Linked DNA regions of Lytechinus pictus. The protein of the gene in region 3 purifies or fractionates together with the protein of the main gene of each other region. This does not show direct contact. Links are inferred from orthologs where the notes say so. Each region holds a gene or a part of one and is shown on either strand. Other genes may lie near its edges.

Region 1 (6,292 bases), on a different chromosome or scaffold from region 3:
CAAAGAGGCTGCACCAGTACGGTTCCACATTAACTCCAGCAGCCTTGATCAAGGTTTGAAGTTTGTCGGCCTATGGACAGAGAATTCAATAACAATACAAACAAATGAAGATCAACATTTAAAAATGGATCAGAGTCGGTCAATCCAAGGATGCCAGTTAATGTATCTGACTTTAGGACAGCTTGAAGTTGAAAGAAAAGGCTTTGGGGCGGGGGGGGGGGGGGGGGGAGGGAGTGAGAAAGAGGAAGATAGAGACAAGAGAGGGAAGGCACAAGATGGGGGGGGGGGGGTCTGTGCATTGGTCGAAAATCATTTGCAAATTTTTCAAACATACATGTAGCGAGCAACATTTCAGTTGATATACAGTTCCTAATATTTCAATCATCACGCATTTCGCAAACGATTTAAAAACGAATGAATATCTGACTGGTGTCACCTCATTGACTTTTGTACCAAGATGTTATTAGATTCATTTTCATATTTCATTTCCTGTAAAAATAGCAAAGGATCCAAACTTTATATGAAATTAAAGCATATCCTCTCGACTCTCAGAAAAAATAAATAATAAGTTGTGATTATTGAAGCATTGTTAGTTACGCTTCAATGATCACAGAAAGGTATGAAAATATGCACTATCTCACTAAATGTCAATGACTATCACTATCATTCATGTATAACTGTTACTGAGGTGGAAAACGAAGGCTACACTATTCTCTTTCATATGATATGCATGTATAATTCATTAGATTTTATGAAAGCAAAGTTAGGACATTTTGACTTTCAGCATAGTTCATCCACTCACTTTACAGTGTTTTATTGTAGTGTACAAATGATTCGTGTATAATTTGTAGATCTATCCAAGGTAAACAATTATCACTCTGAAACCATTTGGAACCATCTTTGGCCAAAAACCACCAAGATTTCACCTTGGATCGATTAACACTATAAATTCTACTTTCTCTCATAGCATCTTGTTTTTATCCCCCTAAAAGTTCTTTCTTATCCTTTCTGCCTTGGAAATTAGCTCACACTGCAGATTCTCCACTTTCCTCCCTCTTTTAATTTTATACTCAACTCTCCTTTGATCTACAACTGTTATCATGCCATATGATGCCCCCCCCCCCCCCCCCATGAGCCGGTTTCTTAGACTCATTTGTTGCCCAAATTTCGACTGGCATGTTTAGATTTTCTGCAACATTTTTTTTTTATCTTACATGTCTTTTCACAAAATGAAATTTTGTATCAATGTTTGTTGAATATATTTGTCTACTTTCAAAGCAATTTTATTTTCAACTTCCACCTCAATATTTCATACAAATCTAACAATGGAAACAGAGAATTCCCTGATACAATCAGTAGAGGCACAAGGCCAATATGGGAGACTCTCTCCAATAGGGGAGACAATCTCCCACATTGGAGACTTGCTTTGCAAAAGGACAAAAGAAACACCAACAAAAACATGATTTTTTCCACCCAAAATTTTGTCTCACTGAGGTCAGAAGCCCATTTGTTCTGTGTGTGATTGACAACAAAAATCCTTATCAAAACAAAAGTAGACTGTGAATTTTTAAAGTAGACAGTGAAAAGGGGTAATTTTTAATGAGAAATCTGCTTATCACATTTTTATTTGCCGCCAAGGTAATTGTTTTGCAGCAAATGTAAACAAAGGAAATTGGACTCCAAAACTGGAGACTGTCTCTAAAATTGGATACCAAAATTCTTTACAAAAGTCTCTGATATTGGAGATAATCTCCCACATTGGAGATAGTATAGTCTCCAATATTGGCCGTGCGCCTCTACTGACAATGTATCTCCATGTTTTGCGGCTGTGATTCGCCAGTACCCCACTTTGACAGTGTGTGCAAGAGCCGCACGCGATACGGTATGCAACCCCCAGAAGTTGCAGTGGCCATTCAGCCCACATTACATGCAGAACCCCTGTGGAACTATGAAGGCAACCCACTAGCATGCCGTAGATTTGATTTCGGTGCAGATTCAATGCGGTTGAGCTTTTCTGGGGTTCATATTTTTTTCTTATATCATTTAGAAGATACAAGATATTCTAAATTTGTGGGAACATTAAAAATTTGGAACCACAGATTTCATCATTTTCAGTGCATTTCTTGGCGACCCCGCTTCTTATATCTGACTGAGCTAAGCTGCTGCTTGCCCTGGAAATGCGGCACAGATTCTGTATTTGTAGGGCAACATTTGCCAACTTTTCAAAGGGGATTTTGGTTTTGGAGTTGAAATCTGGACTTTCCTCCTGAGGCTCCTGTGGTGATTCTCCTTCTGTCTTGTGGTGTTGGACACCAGTAAAAAAATTGACTCTTTTTGCCACTGCTTTAATTTGGAGCCTTCTTTGAATTGAGAGGATGAAATGAAAAAGCTTCTTTCCCTTCATCCTTTTTTTTCCTTCTCATTATTTCTTTTCTGTTAATCTTTCTTTTTTTCTTCTTTTTTTTTGGACTGGGTCTGTGCTGCATGGCCTGTGAAATAAGTTAGACAAATTGACATTTAAAATTCGGGCTAGTTTCTCTACCCCAACTGTTGAATTATTGTACATCATCACACAAACTTTCAGGCATTCCATATTCACACCTGCACACCACAGAAAACAGACTCATTCAACAAAGTTCAAACATATCAAAATTGGATTGAGACATTGAGTCCAACTTTTACTTTTTTAGTAGGCCTACAGTTTTTACTGCCATACTGGACCATCTGAGACTAAGATTAAGAATAATCTTTTATGCGTTCTTCATCAGCAACATTAACGAATAACGTTTAACAGCCAACGATGTAAATAGTATACAAATAATGCATGCAGCCGAGTGCGTTAGTGGAAATGCAGAGCACGCGAGGTTTCTTTAGATAGGAGTCGCACTGTGCACGAGCCGCTTGCGGCGAGTGCCCAGTGTGCTCCATCTGAAGAAACCGAGCTTTCTCTGCATTTACTTTTAAGTTTTATGCAAGACAGAGCAAGTGCATTATTTGTTTTATGAAATAGCAACACAGAAACAATTTTTAAAAAACTTACAGTACAGTTTTGTTGGACTTTACCGCACTGGTTTGCTCGAGCGTGCAATGTCAATTTTCGTTGCACACCTTTTGCACTACCGTGCAGTGCACAAAAAAAGTTGGATGTCATGTGACGCGTATTGACCAATCGCGATGCTTGAAATAATACAGCTATTTTATAATAAGTTGTAGTAACATGGGCATGGCCATGGCATTGCCATTGATTGGCAACACGCATGGAGCCTAGCCATGTCCATGACAAGTGCAGAATACGTATATTAAGGATACACCCCACCCACCACTTTTCGAACAAGGCATACTTGCCAAATAGAAAGTGTCTACCCATTCAACTTTATGGGGTGTAATCTGCAATTAACTTATATAAGCCATGCTGAAGGTTTTAAACTTTTAGCTTCGCGGACATTACACAAAACTTTATACATGGGCACACACTATGGGGGAAGTATTACCGTGATTGGGACCTCATCATCTTGGAGGATAAGAGCGCTGTAAACGCAGGCAAGCTCAGAAGTATTGTCCTCAGAAGACATCTTTGATATTTAGTGGCTTGATTTCTTGGGAAATCAGTACTTGATGGCAAAGAAAAATGGTACACGTCGCCGATTTTGGCCTTAGCTCGATAGAGAACTGTGCACCTTGTTTCTATCCGTGTTGCAAGAGGTCTGTGGAAAGGACAAGTTCATTAATTTTGGGTGGGATCTTTTTATTTTTTATTTAAAAAAACATTTAAAAGTCGATTGTAATTGTTTTTTTAAACAGTATCTTCAGATCAAATATATTATAAAAATCCTTTATTTTACTAATCGAATCTGATATCGAGAGATGTTATTTTGATATATGTATAAGAATTATTTCAGCACATTTAACTTTTACAAAAGTGGATTATTCCTGTCATCCGTGCGTAATGTTAATGGCCCCAAGTTTCGTGGCTAACGGAACTACAATCGTCTGATCCCCTAGAAGTCCGGCGCGATAAAGGTAGGCTGATACCAGGATACGGCTTTACACTGTTTTCCCATAGCGCGCGCGCGCGCTCTGCTAATGTGAATTATGGCTGTATTTGGGCTGTGGAAGGAGAAACGAACACTCTAAAATGTTGCGATATTATTTCAATTTAATGGGGTTCCTTTGGGGACTAATTGCTTTATTTTGTATGTTGAATCACAGAGTTATGTGTCAACTGGTAATCAACGTGAAAAACGACGGTGGTGACCTTGTTCAAGAGAGTATAAACGCTGATGTCAAACGCGATGTGATTTATTTGCAGTTTCAAAAGCTTGATGGCACACTTGTGAAAATGGTCATTGATTTCAAATCGGTAAGTGAAGCAAAAAAAAATGCTTGCTGGATGGATTGGGTAGATTTTAAGTTTAGAGTCATCATAGGCATTAAACCGTTGTATATACACTGTAACACAGTTGATCCAGTCTCACAAACCACGTATTAAAGAGTAGAACTTAGAGTAAGTAGAGGCGCACGGCCAATATTTTAATTGGACTTGGACTGGAGACTGTCTCCAATATCAGAGACTTTTGTAAAGAATTTGGGTATCCAATTTCAGAGACAGTCTCCAGTTTTGGAGACCAATTTTCTTTGTTTACATTTGCTGCAAAAGGATTACCTTGGCGGAAAATAAAAATGTGATAAGCAGATATTCCTCATGAAAAATTACCCCTTTTCACCGTCTACTTTAATTAAAAATTCACCGTCTACTTTTGTTTTGTCAAGGATTTAAGTTGTCAATCACACACAAAACAAGTCAAATGGGCTTCTGACCTCAGTCCAGTGAGACAAAATTTTGGGTGGAAAAAAAATCATGCTTTTGTTGGTGTTGTTTCTTTTGTCCTTTTGCAAGACAAGTCTCCAAAGAGTCCAATGTGGGAGATTGTCTCCAATGTGGGAGATTGTCTCCCCTATTGGAGAGAGTCTCCCATATTGGCCGTGCGCCTCTACTGTTAGAAGTCGTGATCGTTGACGACCGGGAGATTTACAGGAAGGCATTATCTCACTCCCGTATCAGATGATGATGATGATGAATAAATAAAAATGATTTAAAGGAGAATGAAACCCTTGAAACTAGCTGAATCCATATCAAAGAGAAAAATCAAAGAAACATATTGTTGAAAGTTTGAGGAAGATTGAATGAATAATAAGAAAGTTATGAGCATTTGAATATTGAGATCACTAGTGCCATGTAGATCCTCCCATCGGCAATGCGACCAAGATCTGTGATATCACACACGTACAACTCCGTCATTACTTTAGTACTTATTTCACTTATATTCTCACTTTTATAGAGTCTATCACAAGGTTAGGTGTTTTCTTTATGAGATGACAAGTACAGAGGTTTCACAACATTATATCATTAATTGATGAATCGTTTGTCATATGATAAGAATGAGCAAAAAGAGATGTTTTGGGGTATATTTTCAGTGTCCGAATGGGAGAGTTGTACGTGTGTGACATCACAGATCTTGGTCGCATTGCCAATGGGAGGATCTCCATAGCATTAGTGATCTCGACATTCAAATGCTCATAACTCTTTTATTGCTAGTCCTATTTTACTCAAAGTTTTGTTGATCTTATTCTTTGATTTTTCTGCTTTCACAAAAGCTAACTTGCTCCAAGAGTTTCATTCTCCTTTAAATTAAATGGTGGATCAATATCAACCTCCCTTGAGCTCAATAAAATGATCTCGCTCAGTCACTGATCACTGACACTCCAGTGAGTGGGTGATTTCAATTACGGTGTTGAAATTGTGTTGGTTAAGTCACAAATTGTGACAACACAACAACACCGTACTTGAAATCACGCTGGTGTTGGGATTGACCTCGGAAAATATGACGCATTTCCGGCAGTTCTTGTTGAGCGCTGGTGTTGAATGTCGTCTGCTGAACCGAGCGTTACAGTGTAATTTTACAGCTGGTGTTAAATTAGGAAAATCATGATTTCAAGTTGGTGTTGATGTTGATGTGATGAACTGTATACTGTACATGTATGATGTAGCTCACGAACAGGCGGCGAACACGACGAAACATCCTTGTAAAATTATCTTTTACTTTAGTTTTAGTTAAGATGAGCGCAAATCATTAAGAGTTTTATACATTTTAATGAAAAGTAATATTTATGCTTTCTGATTCCTTGCAGTGATTTTAACCTTTGCATTCTGTACGATAAGATTTTCTTGCAATTTCTTCCCGATTTCACTTTCGTCGTGGAGAATTTCTCACATAAAGTTGAGATGATCAGC
Region 2 (6,292 bases), on a different chromosome or scaffold from region 3:
CAGGCGCTACCGAGGAGCGCTTACCGAACATGGATTGGCCGTCTCGCGAACACCACGACAAAAATCATTAAATTATGAAAAGAGAAAGACAGAGATGATGTAAAGTGAGTTTTATTTCATTCTTTTTACAAGTCCACGTTTCAAACATGTCACACATATGCTAAATTTTCATCAAGTCAATCAAGTTTCTGAGGTCGGATTTCTCTGTGTTCGTGTATAAACCGCACCCCCCATTTTCGAGGTTTTCCCCGACAGAAAAAGGTGCGGTTAATACACCGGAAAATACGGTATATATTTAAATCACAAATTTATGTAATCACAAAAAGAGATTTTGCTAAAAACATTCTGACCTGATTGATGAGGACAAAGTTGATGTTAAGAAGTGACAGATTAATGCTAATGAGAATTTGTATTTATGTTTGGTTTTACTTTAATGTGTAGCCTGTTCAGTCATAAGGAAGTTTGCTGTAATTTTCAGGTGGCTCCTAATTTATGGGCAAACTCCCGGAAGAACCCTTCCGTATCATCCGTTCTGGAGGGGCAATATAATAATCTTTGTGGACAAACTGGTGTATTTCACCTGCTGCTACGTGGCCCCAACCTGAGTGAGGGGGATGTTTACAAGTGCTCCATATTTCAACGGATCACGGAACCATGGGGACATCTACCAACATAAAACGATAGGATTAAGATCCACTTTGTCAACGAGTGAAATGTTCGGTAAAATGAATAGGTCTAGTTGACTGGCCGGGTAAGCAGTTGATTACCATGAACTTACTACACCTGAACTTGAATCAGTGAGCATTTCTCTTCTTCCCTTTGAACTGGACATTACATAAACCCTTTCCTACTTGGAATAGATTTTTATACCATACCGGCCCGGTAGTTATTGTGAAATGTTTTAAAGGGCAATCACTTTGTATTACAATCAGAACAAATTGCAAACCCAAATCTGTAACAGATTACCCTTGGAGATTGCATATGTTTCACTACCACTTTACACTTGGTTGTAAAATTATTTCACGTCTTGTAACTGATTTGATACTGCATGCTAGCGTCACAAGAGTGAACGATAAAGATGATTGTATTGTAAACCTTGAAAAATAGACTGATTATTATGTTAATAAACCAGTACTTCAATTTGATACAGTAATTTTATTCTTTTTATTCTGAGTGCCTGACAACATGGTTACTCTTATGTCCCAAGTTTCATGAACTAGATCTATAAACTTTTAAGTTATGATGACAATTCCACAAATAACCCCAACATTATAAAAGTTCGTTGCCCCCTAAATTACCTTTGACCTAGGTCATGTGACCTGAAACTCGCACAGGATTTTCAGGGTTACTTAATTGCTCTTATTTCTAAGTTTCATGAACTAGATCCATAAAATGTCAAAGTTATGATGACAATTCCACAAATACCCCCAACATGGTCAAAGTTTGTTGACCCTAAGTGACCTTTGACCTTGGTCATGTTACCTGAAACTCATGAAGGATCTTCAGTAATACACTATCAACCTTATGTCCAAGTTTCATGAACTAGGTCCATATACTTATAAGTTATGACATTTCAAAAACTTAACCTTGGTTAAGATTTTGATATTGATTTCCCCAACATGGTCGAAGTTCATTGACCCTAAATGACCTTTGTCATGTGACCTGAAACTCAGGCAGGATGTTCAGTAATACTTGATTACCCGTATGTTTTAATGTATGAACTTAACTTTGGTCATATTGGTTAAGAAATTCCATGTTGACGACGCCGCCGTCGTCGGAAAAGCGGCGCCTATCGTCTCGCTCTGCAATGCAGGCGAGACAAAAATGACATCAATCATTCAATGTCGTATAAATGTCGGAAATGAAGTTTTACTTGTAGTTGTATCCCATCATGCCCATTCATGCCCATTTACATGATTTAGGCTTAGGGTGAAGAATAATTAAAGAGCTGTGACTCTGGGAGAAGAGTTCTTTTCCTTTTGTGACAACCTGCTGACCTGTGTTACAAGAAATGAACAAGATGCGACTCCCGGCTCCCCTATCAGTAGAGGCGCACGGCCAATATTGGAGACTGTCTCCAATGTGGGAGATTATCTCCAATATCAGAGACTTTTGTAAAGAATTTGGGTATCCAAATTCAGAGACAGTCTCCAGTTTTGGAGACCAATTTCCTTTGTTTACATTTGCTGCAAAAGGATTACCTTGGCGGCAAATAAAAATGTGATAAGCAGATTCCTCATGAAAAATTGCCCCTTTTTACCATCTACTTTAAAAATTCACCGTCTACTTTTGTTTTGATAAGGATTTTTGTTGTCAATCACACACAAAACAAATGGGCTTCTGACCTCAGTGAGACAAAATTTTGGGTGGAAAAAATCATGCTTTTGTTGGTGTTGTTTCTTTTGTCCTTTTGCAAAGCAAGTCTCCAATGTGGGAGATTGTCTCCCCTATTGGAGAGAGTCTCCCATATTGGCCGTGCGCCTCTACTGCCTATATCAGGCGACTGAGTCAATGTGAAATTCATACACAGCTTCACAAAAACGTGTTTAGCCCATGTAGCATGCAGGCGCAATAATCGCACACGCCTTTATTGCAATGGATTCTGCGCGTTTCTATCCGCATTCCAAGCGTATAACACGGTTCTCTATGTAAGGGACTAGGCCTAAAGTAAAGTCCACTTTCGCACTTCCCGAAAAGTGACGGAAAAGTGCTGATTTTTAAAGCCTACCGACAATTTTCTCATACCTAAGTAATATCATAGTATTCTTGAAAAGTAATGGGACATACGTACCACCGTCTTTACGATCCCGTTTTCCCATTGCATTCAGAAAATTGTTGATATATTTCAGAATGTGGATGTCTAACCGCCCCTAACCGCCTGCGCCTGCCTACGGCCAAAACTGTCGCCAGTATTGCGCAAGAGTCGAGTTGGTACAACTTCAAGCGAGATACCGCGCTGCTGAACCAGTGAGTAATAACAATGAGAAAACTGCATTATCTGGAATTTAGAATATCAGATTTAAAGTACATTTTTAAGTCATAATCAATAATAGTTGTGGCATGCCATATTTTTTGCATAAGATCAAGCAGACATTTGCAAGATAAAGTCGAAAATGAAAACGTGGGCGAATCAGATTGCATGCTGAGCCTGAGCACGCGGTCTGTCCTGCAGCTGCATCGGCGCTTACCACTTGAATCCCCCGGGCCGACCCGCAAGCTAGCTGCCCTGGGCTGGGCCCGTCTCCCATCCCAGCAAGTTCCCACACGCGCACATGTGTGTGTGAGGATATGGATGGATGGCCAATGGCTATGCCTATGTCAACTGGCCTGCACAGGTTGGTTGGTGTTGGAGTTAGGTTGGCGCTCTTCAATCTAGTACTAGTTAGTAGTAGATTATGCGCCAGGTCTTTTCCGAGTTGCTTAATTCCCGCTTCAAAATGAATGTCCTTGGCGTTGGACTAGTCTGAACTGTCATATATCGATATAGCGAGATACAATATAATTATGATTACCTCCAGTCATTGACATTGTGCGATATTGTACGTCATAGTGTAACAGTAAATTTTGCTGGGTTTATTTCTCTAATCTGTACTCTTGCATTTGGCTTTCCATACTTTATTGTTTACATTCAACTTGTTTATTTCCATTCCAACTCATCTCATCCTTCTTTCCATCCTCACAATCCACATACATTGTCATGCCTCATGGGGCCTGTTGCATGACAAGATGAGCGATACGTAGGAACGTCCTAGGACCATTCTTCCGAGATAGGAAGATTGGTGACAAATCAGCGCTTTCCGTTTCACGAAGGCAATTTTGTCTTTCAAGTCCGCGACATCGTTTGATATCGATAGTATCGGAAAAATATTTAGTCTTCATCGTCACCTGAACCTTTTATTTCGGAATGACGACTTTTCATAAAATCATATATTTCAATAAAAGGGGATCAAATAATATTTTATTTATTACTGATTGTAGAATTGATGTACATGGAGCTTAATTTATGAGGTAAAAAGAGAAAAAAATTCAAGATTCACAAACATAACTGGATAAGATCGAAATTATCATTATTTCCCTTATTCAGAACACGGTGTCCTTTTAGAGACACCTTTCATTGATATTTCAACGAAAGAGACCCTTGTCTGACATAAAATTGATTTAACTAAGTAATTTCGACATTTGATTAGTTCAGTATTCTGTATTTTTATAGAATACATATATATAATGATGATTTTGCAAATTATGCGTTAATATGTTATCTGTTGAGGTAAAAATAGGGTTTGAATGGAGTAAACAAAATCAACAGTGTCTGATTGTATGAGACTAAAAAGGAAAATATGAGAGGCTGCCTGTGAAAAATCTAATTTATTTATTTTATTTGTCAGATATAACGCAAGAAATACAAATGTGAGTGTTTAGAGTATAAACATACCTCAGTTGCATGATGAGTAACCGAAGACAAGGAAAATATGAAAATTGCTGCAAACATGTCCAAGTGGATAAAGTAGTGCTTTGCAAAAATAATTAAAACATAGAAAAAGGTGTGCAATCCGAATGGAAAAAAATACTATTTACAGAAATAATGCTAAAAATTACAATGATCATAAAGGTCATCCCCGGGGGGGCCACTTACATTGACGAGTGGATACCATGCGCGACCAAAAAAACACGTAAAAAGGATGTCTTTTTTCAAGATAGGGCACGTTACGTACGTAACGTGATAAGGGTGTCAAAAACACAAAAATATTGATAAAAGGGTATCTATATACGTGTTTAGGGTCAAATATTCGGGGATGATAAAACAAAATAAAAATGTTTGATAAAGGATGTCCTTTTTGCCCCAACACTACGTGTTTAGAGTCCGATTTGCGCGAGATGTGGAAGGTGGGGCCGACTAAACCAAAATAATGGTGTGTATAAAGGTAAAACCGACGACCGACGGACCCGTGACATAACAATAAAATATCGCTGTACTTGTTTAGGGGCTCAATTCTGGAAATAATTGCCAATAGTATTCGGTTTCTAATACTTGTTAAGGTTAGGGTTTCACACGCCAATACTTGTTAAGGGGTGCATTTTCAGAATATGGAAAATACGTGTTTAGGGTGCTTTTCAAAACCCCGTGGTCGCGCATGGTATCCACTCGTCAATGGAAGTGGCCCCTCCGGGAGGTCATCTTTAAAGTCGATCACTGGAAGCTAATATAAGAATATAAGGTGTAAGAATATAAAAAATATATATGTTCAAAGTTGAGGAGTAAAGACTACATTATTGCTTTAACATTATACATGGGGGCCGAAAGGGGCATACCCGACGATTTAAAATGCGCCTCTTTGTATGGATTTTCCATAATCTTTTCTTTAATGAACTTATCTTCATTTGTAATGATTGTGATGGATTTGTAAGATATAGGCCTAATCTATATCTTAAATTCAATTAGCTATTTTGTTACTGCAGATTTTTTGTATTGTTTCACTGTTTCACATCTCAATTAGCCCAAATCCGACAATTAATTTTCATTGATTAAAATTAATTTCAGCCAAAAAATAATAATTATAATGAAAATTAAATAAAAATAAATAAATGATTTACCATGTTTAACATTTAAGTTTGTATCATGTTTTTTTTGCTGAACGTCATATAAATACTTTTTTACCTTACATAATTTCTTTAAAAAAAAATGTTTTCATGTTGTTTAATTATGAGAAAGCATGAGGGATCAGAGAGATAGTGCCACCCATTTCGATATTAAAAAAAAAATTAATGGAAATGGTGTGGGGATAGGACGGAGGGAGAATAAAAGAAAACATATTAAAAAAATATTTGGGCCTACTTTACCCCGGACATAATACCCCGGAGAAGTTAAAGTGACATCTGTTTTTGGTCGTCTTGCCGTGCAAAAAGACGACCTGAAATTGATGACAACTACATGTAGCCCCCATATAAAAAAATAACTTGGTGCCACGGATAAAATGCATCAGTGTGCAACACCAAAAAATGTTTAAAGGTGATATGTCAGTGAGTGTGGCTTGCCGTAAACGCATTTTCTCTCAATGCCGACGGTGGCGGGGCGGTGTGCAAAGAAGATCATGCCTCTGAGGACATGTCTGGAGGTGTCTTTCCAAGGACCATTCTTCGTATCGCCCAAATCGGCTTTGTGAAACAGTTGAGCGATATCTCGTTCTTACGTAGAATGGTTCTACGAAAGACCCTTTCATGCAGCAGGCCCATGATCTCATCTTTCATTCAATCTCCACAATACATCTCACATAGCAACACAGGTTCATTGCAT
Region 3 (6,292 bases):
GCCTATACCTGATGTAATTTGCTTCAATATAAAATCATAACGGAAAGAACGCCTTGAATACAGGCCAAACAGCCTAACGACATTGCTGTGTCACGTGACAACTAGTATTAAACGAGAATGTACACAACCCTATGGCGACAAGGTTAGCCGCAAAAGTTGAGCAAGTTCTGGACAAAAAGGCTTCAGTACCCCAAGAAAAGACCAGGCGAGTACTATTTATACATTATTTTCCATAAGTAGTATCTAGGGTCTAATTTAAAAATAGATTTCGTCATGGAGCTCCATGGTAATATCTAGTAATTTAAGTCCAACTTCTGATTCGTGTGCACTCACTTTTTTAACACAGGAATTGATAGGCATGGTGCCTAGAGTGGTGATGACACTACGTCATTAAAAAAGAAGTTATGACAGGTTCGGAGGTGTCATAAATATTTAGTGAGCTATTTAGTATTGGACTTGGAGGTAGTTGTACCCGATCTTTCTGTCTGTCTTTCTTTCTTTTCCTTCCTTCATTCCTTTACTCTTATCCCGTTTTTTTTCCGGTGAAATCCACTGGGGATCAAGGGCCAGCCTGCATGCCCCCGGCGGCTTACGCCTCTGCCGTGGATGTAGACCTAAGCTATACGCATGATCTTAATCTTCATTATGATTCAAACTAGAGGCGCATCCAAGATTTTGCAAAGTGGGGGGGGGGGGGGGCTCGGGGTGAATTTTCTCAAGTAAAATTTGACAATTCTAAAAAAAGGTTCTTACCAAAAAAACCCGGTCATTTTGTCTCGCGTAAGTTAAAAAAAAAATGGTCACTCAAAATGAAAATCATTTTGTCCGCGTAATATTCGGCCCCCCACAGAAAAATAAAATAAGAAAAGGGAAAGTCATTTTGTCCACGTGATATTTGGCACCCCCCGCCCCCCCCCCCCCAAAAAAAGGTTTTAACTATAGTACCGGGCTAAAGTAATGATCGAAGGTAATTTTATCTCGTGTAGAATTTGACAAATGAAAAAAAGGTTGTCACTGAAAAATAATAATAATAATAACAAATAGAGGTATATTTTATTACCCAGAGTAACCACTTCAGTTCCGAAAACTGTTCTCCCAGCGGGCCCTGCTATTATTACCCGAGCTTTAGCTGGGCTAAAAATGAAGGTCATTTTGTCCCACGTAAAATTTGGCAAGCCCCCCCCCCCCCCCAAACAAAAAAAAACAAAAAAGGAAAATGGTTTTCAACTAATATTAGTGATCGAAGGTCATTTTGTCTCGCGTAAAATTTGACAATTTTTTTTTTAAGTTGTCACTAAAAAAGAAGGTCACTTTTTCCACCGTTATATTTGGCAAGCCCCTACCCCCATAAAAAGTTTGTCCCTAAAAGTGATGTATAGAAAGTCATATTGTTAATTTGTTCCCAGTAAAATTTGACAAGCAAAAAAAAGGCAAAAAAGAGAAAAGAATATGAACGAGATATCCCCATTACAAATAATGCTGTGATTCTCATAAGGGAGGGGGGGGGGGCACATAACTAGTATTAACAAAATATTTAATTCCAAAATGTTTACTATAAATCTCAAAAGGGGAACGGGCAGAAATGCTCACCCCCAACCCCTCCCCCCCCCCCCGATCTGCCACTGATTCCAATCAATAATGACTTTTCTCTGCAATACTGATGCTTTGAAATCAAGATACTGAAGATTGATACGCTTAACATAAATTATGAACGTCTGACAAAACGATAACCAACCGATCACCTGACCGATCAGCTGACCAGTACGCGTATCACTTCGGAGTTGATCACTCGTCGCAGCTGTGTGGAATGCTCATCGTAACAAAATGGCCGATCGAGACTGGGGTAGAGGAGAGAACTTTTCGTTTTTTTTAGGTTCCAGTCTGTGCCCAGATGTCAGGAAACTGCCACTCGTTAGACCTTCATCCATATAATCGTGGTAATTGTATACTTTCTGTTTTCACAATTCATTTGGAGAAATATTTAGACCATAAATCACCCTAGTCCGGTGACTATGGCCAAATACACGGTAAGCCCGGGCCCCTGGGCTCCCGCCCGCTGTGCGGGCGGGAGCTCCCTGGGGCTGGGTTAGGACTAGGACTAGGAGTGACTAGGAGTGGTAAAGACTAAAGAGGGCTTCACTTCACTCAGCCTTCTTGAAACGGTTAGCGGACAATTTAGTCAAGAAGTTAGACTTATGACGGTGTTGAGAAACGGGCCCCTGAAGGCTAATACAGACAGTATTGGCCGAGCCACTTTCTTTCAATTTCATGGGGGAAAAAAACACACACACAAGAAATGCAGCGTATGGGACCACGTTGTCAATCTCGCAAATCGACATCCCGTAATAATAATACGTTAAATTTAAAAGGATGTCTCGAAAAAGTAGTAGTAGGTCTCTATTCATCTCATCTCATGCCACAAGATTCCCTGCACATCACACACATACCGTAAGTGTTTGTTCAAAATAGGCCAGCTTTGGCAGCTTTTCTTTCCTTCTTAGACTTAGGAAACACGGCTTCATTTACTTCTGTACTTGGTCATGTAGGCTGCCATTTTATCTAAGATGCCAATCGTGTATAGAAATTTAAGTCAAAATCAAATTTATTAAAATCATAAATGATTAATAGAATGTATATTGAGATTTTGAAAATATATTTATTATATAATAAAATTAATATTGAAAAAAATTAAATAAATTGAGATTTTTTTATTTGAAAACAATATGATATAAAAAGGAATCTTTATTGTGCTTTAAATTGCATGTCGTACAAATATCCTTTTCTGTGAGCACTGCTGAAGCGCAGGGTCAGTTGAAATAAACATTCCATTAAAATCGTTAGGAATCTAAATCATTATTGATGGTCAAACTCTAATGTTACTTGATTCGAATAAAGTGATTACTATTTATGTAAAGTAATGATTCTAGTTTTGAACCTGTGTCCATTAAAAGTAGATAAAAGAATGAAACCATGACCGTCAATCACTGGTTAGCGAGAGCGATGCCGATAGTGTAACGCTAGTGCGGTCGCGGGTCGGGTTTGCCTTTTCAATCACGGATGATTCGTCGAATCGATGTCTGGGACTTGGATTCTGCCCTATAACTTTATGAATATGCAGGGGGAATCTGTTGCCCTTGTTCAAAATTATTGGTAGACCCTTGTTTTAAGTTCTAACGAGCCACCATCATGACCATGGCACAATTTGTTTGCAATCCAATGCCAATGCAATGGCATGCAGAGGCCTACCTCGAGCGAAGTTCGTGCAGGCTCCACTCCACTTCTCACTACCGGTACCGCTACAGCCTACACTACGCTTCACCTACCCGAACTTCGAGACCATGAACTCAATCGGATATTCCGAGTGATAAAAGGTGGGATTTTATGGGGACAAAATACAAAATTCATGCAACATCACGATCTTTAAAAACAAGTACAAGTACTACAACTGTCTAATATTCTTACTTTACACAAAGTTTCGCTTCTTTTTGATGCTTCTATAGTATCAGTCTCAAATTTGATGATTTAGAGCCAACATGAAGTTCCTCACACGTATAAATATTAATGCGCTGCCGACTTCAAAAAATCGCATGCGGGAGGTACCGGGTCTGGTCCGAGCTCGGACCCTCGCGCGCATGCGATGTTCTGAAATCGGCAGCGAATTATTACGTGTAAGGAACTTCATGTTGGCTCTAAATCATCAATTTTGAGACTGATAGAAGCATGGAAAAGAAGTGAAACTTTGTGTAAAGTAAGAATATTAGTTGTATACCCAGTTGTTGTGTGTCCGGACAGGTTGTGTGTCCGGACGATCAATTTTAGAAAGTCATTTGGAAAAATTTGAAAGCGAAGTTTCATAAATTTTTAGTACAAAATGTTATGAAATATTATAAAGAACAAAATATAAGATGATTACAAGTATTAAATTCATATTTTTAGTGTAATCCAAAGACAAAAAAGAAGGCTTCAAAAATATAAAGTGTCCGGACACCCGACCCCCCATCCTACTTGTTTTTAAAGATCGTGATGTTGCATGAATTTTGTATTTTCTCCCCATAAAATCCCACCTTTTGTCACTCGGAATATCCGATCGAGTTCATGGTCTCGAAGTTCGGGTAGGTGGAGCGTAGTGTAGCGGTAGTGAAGTGGAGTGGAGCCTGCACGAACTTCGCTCGAGGTAGCAGAGGCCATGAATCATGACAGTGCCAGTGGCTGGCACTGCCACTGGTGACTGCGCACCCAAAATTGAAACAGAGATATTCAAACGTGAATTTTCTTTCTTTTCCACACAATATCCTTATCTAGATAAAAATGTTCTAATGGCGTAGTGCATGTATTGCGGCACTGCCAAGATTTCTTAAGAAATTGAGTCAAAATTTGTTCGCAATTGCATTTCCAACCTTCATTTGAAATATCTTTGTCTTTATCACTCACTCTCAGAATAAAAACACTTGTCACTGTAACCCAGGGAGCTCCGGGCTGGAGCCCAGGACTCGTCTGTGTAATGATATTAGGCAGAGGAGGATACTCTCCAAAAATGTGGTAGAATGGGGTCACAATATCACCCCAAATGAAAGGGGAAAAAAATTATGCACTTGCCTCGATTATTATATGGATGAAGGTCAATTGTGCAACAGAATCCTGACATCCGAGGCACAAAACTAGACCTTAAAAAAAAGGAAAAGTTCTGTCTCGTCCATTCTCCTTTTTTCAAAATTGAAAACAAAATGGCCAATCATCATCGATACAGAGAAGGAACGCGACATAGACATGATAGAGGTCTAACTTCCTTTTTTTGAGTGTCCAGTTTGTGCCTCGATATCAGGATTCTGTGTCACTATAGACCTTCATCCATATAATCGGGTAAGTGCATAATTTATTTTTTCCCCTTTTATTTTGAGTGCTGTTGCGACCCCACCCATTTTGGAGAGTACCCATGTCTGCCTAGTATTACACGGACGACTCCTGGGCTCAAGCCCGCAAAGCTTCGCGGGCCGGGGCTCCCTGGGTTATTGGCATTGGAACCAAGTGTCTGTGCACCCACTCTTTGCAAATGATTGAACTGGGACTTGGAAGGGAGGCTGCATTTTGAGGTCTTGATATGATATATTATCAAAGAATGTTGGTCTAGACCTCTCTAGTGATCTTCTAGTCTACCATGTCTAATGCCAATGGCCACAAAAAGTTATGAATCATGATCTGCAATGTGGAGACAAATAGACCCTATTCATAAAAAAAGAGTAAAAAACCTTGTTCTCATTACAAATCGTATCAATGAGTGGTTCCCCAGATGCCAGAACATGATTATTGAGCTATCACATTGTGAATGTTCTAAATAACAGATTTCATGGGTAGGCCTAAATGCAGTCTCCCCATAAATAATTTAATCCTGTGTTTATATGGACAAAAATGTGGCAACATTGTTTTTGTTTGTATTGTTTTTATATTCCATCCCAAATACCAGCCTGCATTGTTTTACATGCAAAAAATCCTTTCTTTGAAAGTTGCATGATCTTTGATGTTTTTCTGATCATCAGATCTAAATCGACATTTATATTTCTATTTTTTTCATTTATTAGCATCACATTGAAATGGAAATCGTCATACTCATGCACCATATTATGCCGTTAATTTGCAAAGCCAAAGCCTTTCTTGCAAAATCTTTCAATTTTAAAAGAAAAGTTAATCGATTGAAACAAACTTTAAATATGAAATTGCCAAGTTTCATTTCATTACAAATTACTTGTAGTTTACAAATCATTGACATGATTTGAATTGAAATTTTTTATGACCTTTTTTCCCTTGACTACAGATTTCACCATGACTCGCAAGGGAAACAGAGTCCTTCCAAATGTCCATTTCCGTAAGGAATGGCAAAACTATGTCAGGACCTGGTTTGATCAACCAGCCCGCAAGAAGCGGCGACACAACACCCGTGTGCAGAAGGCACGGAAGATTGCCCCCAAACCCATCGCAGGAGCACTAAGACCCCAAGTTACTTGTCAGACGTTCAAGTACCACACCAAGCTGAGGGAGGGACGTGGCTTCACTCTTGAAGAGCTCAAGGTACTGTATGACCATCTTTAAATATGTCTTGGTCAATTCTTCAGGGATTGATAATTTGCTTCACTTGTACAACATGATGTGACTGACTAGACTGAAAATGCAAAAGAAGGCATACAAAAAGATACCAGCTAGGCTTGAGAAAGTAATGTAGGGAATCATCACAACCATCTCTTCACTCTGGTGACATGACATTTGCTCCTGCGACATTAGCTCCGGTGTTAATATCTCA

The links.
Region 1: the proteins of large ribosomal subunit protein eL13-like (region 3) and large ribosomal subunit protein P1-like purify together in Homo sapiens (affinity purification with mass spectrometry; 3 studies listed by BioGRID and IntAct, with this or other methods). This does not show direct contact. The link is inferred for Lytechinus pictus from reciprocal best matches to the Homo sapiens genes RPL13 and RPLP1.
Region 2: the proteins of large ribosomal subunit protein eL13-like (region 3) and nucleolar MIF4G domain-containing protein 1-like purify together in Homo sapiens (co-immunoprecipitation; 3 studies listed by BioGRID and IntAct, with this or other methods). This does not show direct contact. The link is inferred for Lytechinus pictus from reciprocal best matches to the Homo sapiens genes RPL13 and NOM1.

The regions. Positions count from the first base shown.
Region 1 is NC_087252.1:20,860,126-20,866,417, reverse strand, and holds the start of large ribosomal subunit protein P1-like, read right to left. Parts: upstream 3,715-6,292; 5' UTR 3,573-3,714; coding exon 3,492-3,572; intron 71-3,491; coding exon 1-70. Other genes in the region: out at first protein-like, read left to right, coding at 4,136-4,360. UniProt on the Homo sapiens protein: Plays an important role in the elongation step of protein synthesis.
Region 2 is NC_087257.1:8,961,909-8,968,200, reverse strand, and holds the start of nucleolar MIF4G domain-containing protein 1-like, read left to right. Parts: upstream 1-2,914; 5' UTR 2,915-2,967; intron 2,968-6,292. Other genes in the region: general transcription and DNA repair factor IIH helicase subunit XPB-like, read right to left, coding at 2,792-2,819. UniProt on the Homo sapiens protein: Plays a role in targeting PPP1CA to the nucleolus.
Region 3 is NC_087246.1:67,041,772-67,048,063, forward strand, and holds the start of large ribosomal subunit protein eL13-like, read left to right. Parts: upstream 1-2,750; 5' UTR 2,751-2,806; intron 2,807-5,809; 5' UTR 5,810-5,817; coding exon 5,818-6,063; intron 6,064-6,292. UniProt on the Homo sapiens protein: Component of the ribosome, a large ribonucleoprotein complex responsible for the synthesis of proteins in the cell.